Linked DNA regions of Xenopus tropicalis. The protein of the gene in region 1 binds, or shares a complex with, the protein of each later gene. Links are inferred from orthologs where the notes say so. Each region holds a gene or a part of one and is shown on either strand. Other genes may lie near its edges.

The links.
Region 2: the proteins of ncapg (region 1) and ncaph are in contact, whole or in part, in a crystal structure (PDB 6IGX), measured with the Homo sapiens proteins. The link is inferred for Xenopus tropicalis from reciprocal best matches to the Homo sapiens genes NCAPG and NCAPH. Residues at the interface, in NP_071741.2 of Homo sapiens: Lys11, Phe14, Arg15, Gln18, His50, Tyr51, Lys53, Tyr54, Val55, Met56, Val57, Glu62, Ala64, Val65, Val68, Phe102, Ser106, Glu108, Ala109, Asn110, Ser111, Val114, Arg115, Ile149, Arg150, Lys152, Asp153, Lys154, Arg159, Glu188; in NP_056156.2 of Homo sapiens: Glu471, Ile472, Asp473, Phe474, Glu475, Asp476, Asp477, Ile478, Phe480, Val482, Tyr483, Phe484, Arg485, Lys486, Thr487, Ala489, Ala490, Thr491, Ile492, Leu493, Gln501, Asn502, Trp503, Ala505, Thr506, Thr507, Leu508, Phe512, Tyr514, Val516.

The regions. Positions count from the first base shown.
Region 1 is NC_030677.2:29,183,540-29,187,039, forward strand, and holds part of ncapg (condensin complex subunit 3), read left to right. Parts: intron 1-115; coding exon 116-226; intron 227-531; coding exon 532-651; intron 652-740; coding exon 741-1,010; intron 1,011-1,192; coding exon 1,193-1,374; intron 1,375-3,230; coding exon 3,231-3,405; intron 3,406-3,500. UniProt on the Homo sapiens protein: Regulatory subunit of the condensin complex, a complex required for conversion of interphase chromatin into mitotic-like condense chromosomes.
Region 2 is NC_030679.2:125,117,452-125,120,951, forward strand, and holds part of ncaph (condensin complex subunit 2), read left to right. Parts: intron 1-39; 5' UTR 40-49; coding exon 50-285; intron 286-1,916; coding exon 1,917-2,013; intron 2,014-2,672; coding exon 2,673-2,765; intron 2,766-2,865; coding exon 2,866-3,004; intron 3,005-3,500. UniProt on the Homo sapiens protein: Regulatory subunit of the condensin complex, a complex required for conversion of interphase chromatin into mitotic-like condense chromosomes.

The sequences.
Region 1 (3,500 bases):
ATTCTAGGAGTTGTAATTAAACAGCATCTCAAGGGGCACAGGCTGGACATCACTGCTAGAAGACTTGATATCACTGTATTAGATAGCTAACTGAATATTCCCTTTTGTGTTCTAGAATGACCCAGAAACACTCCTGAAATGCCTGATTATGTGTAATGAACTTCTCAAGCACCTGTCCCTTTCCAAAGGACTAGGGGGAACTATAAACGAAATTATTGAATCTCTGGTAAGTTTATTCCTGACCTATGACTGGACATAACACAGTTGCAGTTTAGAACTGGGGCAGTAGAATAATGACATGAACATAAAGATACATTACATGGAGTCATGTGGGGCCGGAGAATTCTTCTCCTTCCAGAAATCTGCCGTCCTGGGTTAAAGGAGAACTAAACCTTAAAGAATTAAGCTTTTCATGTTGCACGTCAGTTTTGTTCTTTTTTATTTATTTATTTTTGCCCATTACTGTTTAAATAGTAAAGGTTCAGTTTATTTCATCACTGCTTTTCCTCAATTTTTTTTTTTTTGGATTAGATTCTTCCTGGCATAACCAACGTTCACCCCTCTGTTCGGAATATGGCAGTGCTGAGCATTGGCTGCTGTGCTCTGCAGAATAAAGGCTTTGCAAGGCAACACCTCCCACTGTTATTACAAGTAAGAAGGAAAATCTCTATATGGAGCCATTATCCGACAGTACTGCATGACTGTTTATTTCTTATTTTTCTTTTTCACCTAAAAATCAGATTTCCCAGCTGGATGAGGTGAAAGTCAAGATCAGTGCCCTGAGCGCAGTGTTTGATATGCTTCTGCTCTTTGGCCTGGACATTCTCAAATCCAAGCCCTCCAATCCTGATGATTCCCAGTGCAAAGCTCAGGAGAATGCAGATGAGGAGATTTCTGAGGAGGAAAAGCCGGACACGGTAGATGAGACGCTGACTAATGAAGAAGTCAAAGAAGAAACTGCTACTGTTAATGGCATCCTGCAACTGTTCTCTCGCTTCTTGGACAGTGAGGTAACCTAGCCAGGGCTGTGCCTTCTCATCAATGGTCTCCTCAGGGGCTGCTCTCTCTCTGTTGGTTCCCTGCCCACAAGCAGTGCCCACCAGATGTTTAGGAAATCCAGTGTGATAATTAAAGGAGAATTAAAGAGAGTTTTCATGCTGCCTGTAACTAGCCTCATTTGGTTTCTTGTTAGATTCCAGAAATAAGGACAGAGACAGCGGAAGGCTTGGCCAAGCTGATGTTCTCTGGAAGGTTAATAAGTGCCAAACTGCTCTCACGTTTGATTTTGCTGTGGTACAATCCCGTCACGGAGGAGGATACAAAGCTTCGACATTGCCTGGGTGTTTTCTTTCCCATTTTTGCATATTCTTGCAGGTATGTGCTGTGATTTACCATTCAGTTATCCCTGTATTGGCTGCTACAGTAAGGGATTTTCAAAGTGATATTCGGGGACAGGGAAGAGTTTGCAGCGTGCAAAGAAAAAATTTAGGCCACATCCACTTTGGGAGACACGCTCCCCATTTTACAAATACATGCTTAGTAAATATATAAGTGAGGGCATTTTCATGTATAATACCGCTAAAACTCATAGCAGGGTGACACAGTGCCAATTCCATGTATAATACCCCCAGAACTCATAGCAGGGTGACACAGTGACAATTCCATGTATAATACCCCCAGAACTCATAGCAGGGTGACACAGTGACAATTCCATGTATAATACCCCCAGAACTCATAGCAGGGTGACACAGTGACAATTCCATGTATAATACCCCCAGAACTCATAGCAGGGTGACACAGTGACAATTCCATTTTTAAAACCCCAGAACTCATAGCAGAGTGACACAGTGCCAATTCCATGTATTATCCCCCCAGAACTCATAGCAGGGTGACACAGTGCCAATTCCATGTATAATACCCCCAGAACTCATAGCAGGGTGACACAGTGCCAATTCCATGTATTATCCCCCCAGAACTCATAGCAGGGTGACACAGTGCCAATTCCATGTATAATACACCCAGAACTCATAGCAGGATGACACTGTGCCAATTCCATGTATAATACCCCCAGAACTCATAGCAGGATGACACAGTGCCAATTCCATGTATAATACCCCCAGAACTCATAGCAGGGTGACACAGTGCCAATTCCATGTATAATACCCCCAGAACTCATAGCAGGATGACACAGTACCAATTCCATGTATAATACCCCCCAGAACTCATAGCAGGGTGACACAGTGACAATTCCATGTATAATACCCCCCAGAACTCATAGCAGGGTGACACAGTGCCAATTCCATGTATAATTCCCCCAGAACTCATAGCAGGGTGACACTGTGCCAATTCCATGTATAATACCCCCAGAACTCATAGCAGGGTGACACAGTGCCAATTCCATGTATAATACCCCCAGAACTCATAGCAGGGTGACACAGTGCCAATTCCATGTATAATTCCCCCAGAACTCATAGCAGGGTGACACAGTGCCAATTCCATGTATAATTCCCCCAGAACTCATAGCAGGGTGACACAGTGACAATTCTATGTATAATACCCCCAGAACTCATAGCAGGATGACACAGTGCCAATTCTATGTATAATACCCCCAGATTACTATTCTGATAAACATTTGACTCAGTAGTAAGTCAGTTATGATGTGTGACTGGCACATTCTATAATGGGCATAGTGTTACTTTTAAAAATACCTGTTCATTTCTGCTGAGCTTGCATATAAATGTCCAAATTGTTTATACATCTAGTCTGGTGTGACTCCCCTCTGGGCTGCTTGTTTGGTCACACACGAAAAGACAAAATAAGGATAAAACCCCAAAATAACTTTTTTGTGAAAGTCCTTTCACCCCCTTACACAGGAAAATGTCTCGTATATAAAAAAGCATTATCGGAGATGGGTCAGAAAACAAAATTAAAGGACAAATGTATCAACGCTTTAAGCTTGGCTATCCTGAAGTATTCTCAGTAGTTTTTCTATTCAACAAATCTTTCCTGACTGGCAGAAAGGCTTTTAATGAGTTGATTTATCACAGAAGGTACCTGCAGCAGTCTGACAGCAGTCACGCGCCCTTCCATTCAATGTCACCCAATCAGATCCTTATTTCCCAGTGTTTGTTTACTGAGAAGTAATCATTGGTACTACTTGGTACAAATATGGAAGCCCTGGTGAAGAGCCCAATAACAAAATTTTTTTTTCTGTGATTATCCTTCTGCAGGTCAAACCAAGAATGTTTTGAAGAAACTTTCTTCCCCACTTTACAGACTCTCTTTAATGCCCCGTCGAGTTCTCCTTTAGCCGATGTCGACGTTGCTAATGTCGCAGAATTGCTTGTGGATCTTACCAGACCCAGTGGGTTGAACCCACAGAACAAACAGCCACAGGACTATAAGGTACTTGCTGGTTTCCTGTGTGTATGTGTGTATGTGTGTGTGTATGTATGTATGCATGTATGTATAATGATGTCATTTGTGTCACATGACTCACT
Region 2 (3,500 bases), on another chromosome or scaffold:
CTGTATAAGTTGTAGCTTGTAATTCTTTGTATTTTCTAGATAAGACAAAATGAGTACATCAACTCCTCAGTCAGGAGTGCGCAGAAAGCCAGCAACCCCAGACAGTGCTTTTCTGTCCCCAGCCACTAGGCCTCAGCCCGTCAGTGCGGCTGGTACTCCCACTCTGCAGAACTTTACTAGCAATGATGATGAACGGGAAAGGAAACTTCGGCGTATGTCCAGGGTCATTGACCTGCAGCTTAGCAATGCTGATTCCCCTGCATCTGCCATTTCACCAGCTCAAAGGTAATTGACCAGTTATCTAGTTTGTGTGTCTGCTTTAAGGGGCAAAAAAATAAACTCTTTCAGCTGAAGTGTTATAGTGGTACATTAACTTTTTTTTACTCGTGAGCCACACTCAGATGTAAAAATTGTTAGTGAGCCACACTCAGATGTAAAAATTGTTAGTGAGCCACACTCAGATGTAAAAATTGTTAGTGAGCCACACTCAGATGTAAAAATTGTTAGTGAGCCACACTCAGATGTAAAAATTGTTAATGAGCCACACAAGCATGAAAAAAAGTTCTTTGGGGATGCCACTGTGATTGGCTATATGGTAGCCCCATGGGGAATGCTAGCCTGGAGGAGGCTCTGCTTGGAGTAAAACTGTGTCTCTGTGCTTCCAAAACTTGCCTCCAAGCCAGAAATGTAAAAATGGGCACCTACTCTGAGGCCGCTGAGAGCAACATTAAAGGGGGTGGTGAGCAATATGTTGCCCACGAGCCAGTGGTTGGGGATCACTGTTATAGACGGACCTATTCTAAGCTACTTTTCATATGGTCGTTTTTTTGTGTTTTATTAGCCTTCCTATTCTGTTTATTAACAGTCTGCAAATAAAAACGCCAGCTAGTTGTTGGGTCACTCAATTTTATTGTTGTTCTTATTTTTTTATTGATTATTTTTTGTTCAGGCTCTATAGTTCCCATTCTGACATTCAAACTGCTGCCTGGGGTAATTATACCTTGGTAACCAGCTACCAATCCAGATGTGAGGCCCATGAGCCTTAGAACAGAAAATTTAAATTAAAAAAATTGACTATATCCATATTGCCTTAGGAAGCTAATGTTCTCACCAACCCCTAGGAGTAAATTAGTGCTACTGCAGGGAATGTAGTTTATTGTATACAAAGCTGGACAGTTTCAACTAAGTTGGCACACTTGTCATTTCAGAATATAAGCTCTGTATATGTATGTTTTTATTCCATTTCCTTCTTAACATGCTGAGACTTTATGCTTATGTCTCAGAACAGAAATAAAACAAGCAATGGTATCTAACCGAATCCTAATTAGCATATGCTTCCGTGTTAACATGACAAAAAGTCATGTGATTTTTTTGGAATCAAATATGATTCAGCCGAATCCGAAAAAGGCTGAACCCTGGCTGAATACTGAACAGAATTCTTGATTCGGTGCATCCCTAAAAGAAAGGTTAAAATCACTGGGGGTGCCAAGTTGTTTCTAGTGTTGAATGAAGGAGTGTGTATGGCTAGTTCTAAAATCACTAAAGAATTTATATACCAGTCTCTAATTCAAACCACTCCCTGGGAATTTGGACCCTAGCAACAGTATAACTGCTAAAATTCCAAACCAGACCGCTTCTGATCAAAAAGTGAATAATTTTAAAAAAAAAAACACAAATAAAAAATAAAGACCAGTTGCAAGTTGTCTCTGTTGTCAACATCATACTTAAACTAAACTCAAAGGTGAACAGCCCCTTTTAAAATAATTCCACACATTCAAGTGGTAGTAAAAGACAAAACTCTTGTATTAAAGACATTCCTGGACAATTATTGGTTATGTATTTGTTGAAATTCTACAAAAAAGAAACATGTTCATGTCATAATATAAATGTGTTATTTTTTTTTTTGTTTTTTTTAGCAGGGGAATAGATACTCCAACATCTCTACTGCCCAAATTAAGCAACACGCAGATTTCAGATCATTATTCCACCTGCATTAAGCTGTCTCAGGAGAATGTGAGCATTTTACTAATTTAATCTGAAAAAGTCTCTCCTGAAATACTGTTCTAGTTAATTGCTTTGTAAAAATATACGCAGTTTACTGTCTTTTACTTTTATGACTTATTTTTCCCGCAGGATTAGAAGTATTAATTATTTACCATTTTACTTTTAACGTTATTAAGGGAAAAATTGGGGGATGATACAGTTAAAATAATTGTTTTTCTCTTTACATGGACCTGCTATGTCAAAGTAATTTTTACTTCTTTTCTGCAGTGGTGCGCAAACATTTAACGCTTTACTTATAGCAATATTAAATCTTTCTCAGAACTTTTTCTCTATTATACTTTGAGAATATCTATAGCACCTTAGAATATGCACTTGTTGGTCTAAAGCTGACCTATAAGGGCAGACCCATAGTTTGTGGCCATAGGCTGAGTTTAGAGTCTCTGATAAATTAGAAATATTGTATATGCAGGCTATTTTTGGACAGATGGTTAGATGTGTTCTCCTTTAATCATCTTTACTGTCAGCAGTATTGTGATAACATGGGCTGTTTGCTTTATACTTTGTAATGGTTGTGCTTAGCCATCTTATTGTAAGCAATGTTGTAGCTTAACTATCCTATTGGGTCTTCAGTTGCTTTGGTTTGACCTTGTAAAACTGTTCTTCCACAGAAAATAACAACTAAGAATGCTTTCGGGTTGCATTTGATTGATTACATGGGTGACATCTTGAAGCATAAAGACAGCGAATTAACTAACTTTAAAGTAAGTGAACTTGGCTCTCACAGATGCAACTGTTGCTTAGTATTAAAATTTCACACATTCAGTGCTCATTTTGCCTTTTGCTTTTGACACTTGATTTTAGGTTGCAGCTGGGACTCTGGATGCCAGTGCCAAAATATATGCAGTGCGAGTCGATGCTGTTCATGCAGATGTCTACAAAGTGCTTGGTGGGCTAGGAAAGGAATCTCAGGCAACTGAGGACACAGACAACCAGGAAATAGGTAGCATAATGTTATCTGTTTATTTTATATAGCAGAATACATTTTACATAACTCTTTAAAACTACAGTGATGAAATTCACATATATAAGAGAAGCTGATGAAAGCCCAAGAGCCATCAGGCGATAATTAGAATATAAAGTAATCATTTCATGTAGTTAAAGACAGTTACATCAATCTCTGAATGAATGTAAGTTGAAAAGTTGCTTAGAATTACATATTCATTCATTATCCAAGAGCTGCTATTCTGTTCGCTAAAAGATACACGCAAGTCATGTTAAGATCAGAACAAATGTTTTAGGCTGGTGAACAATGGCTTCACTAGTTTAAGCCTGATGATACAGTGTTAAAGAAAATGTTAACCCTCAAAAACAAATTAATGTTACACTGCTCAGAGCACTTTTCTAAGCACTTGTACAGTAATACATATTTTTTTTCTAGATTTCAAGATACACTAAAAAATTAGATTTAAATAACAGTGCTGCCTGCTTGGGTAGTT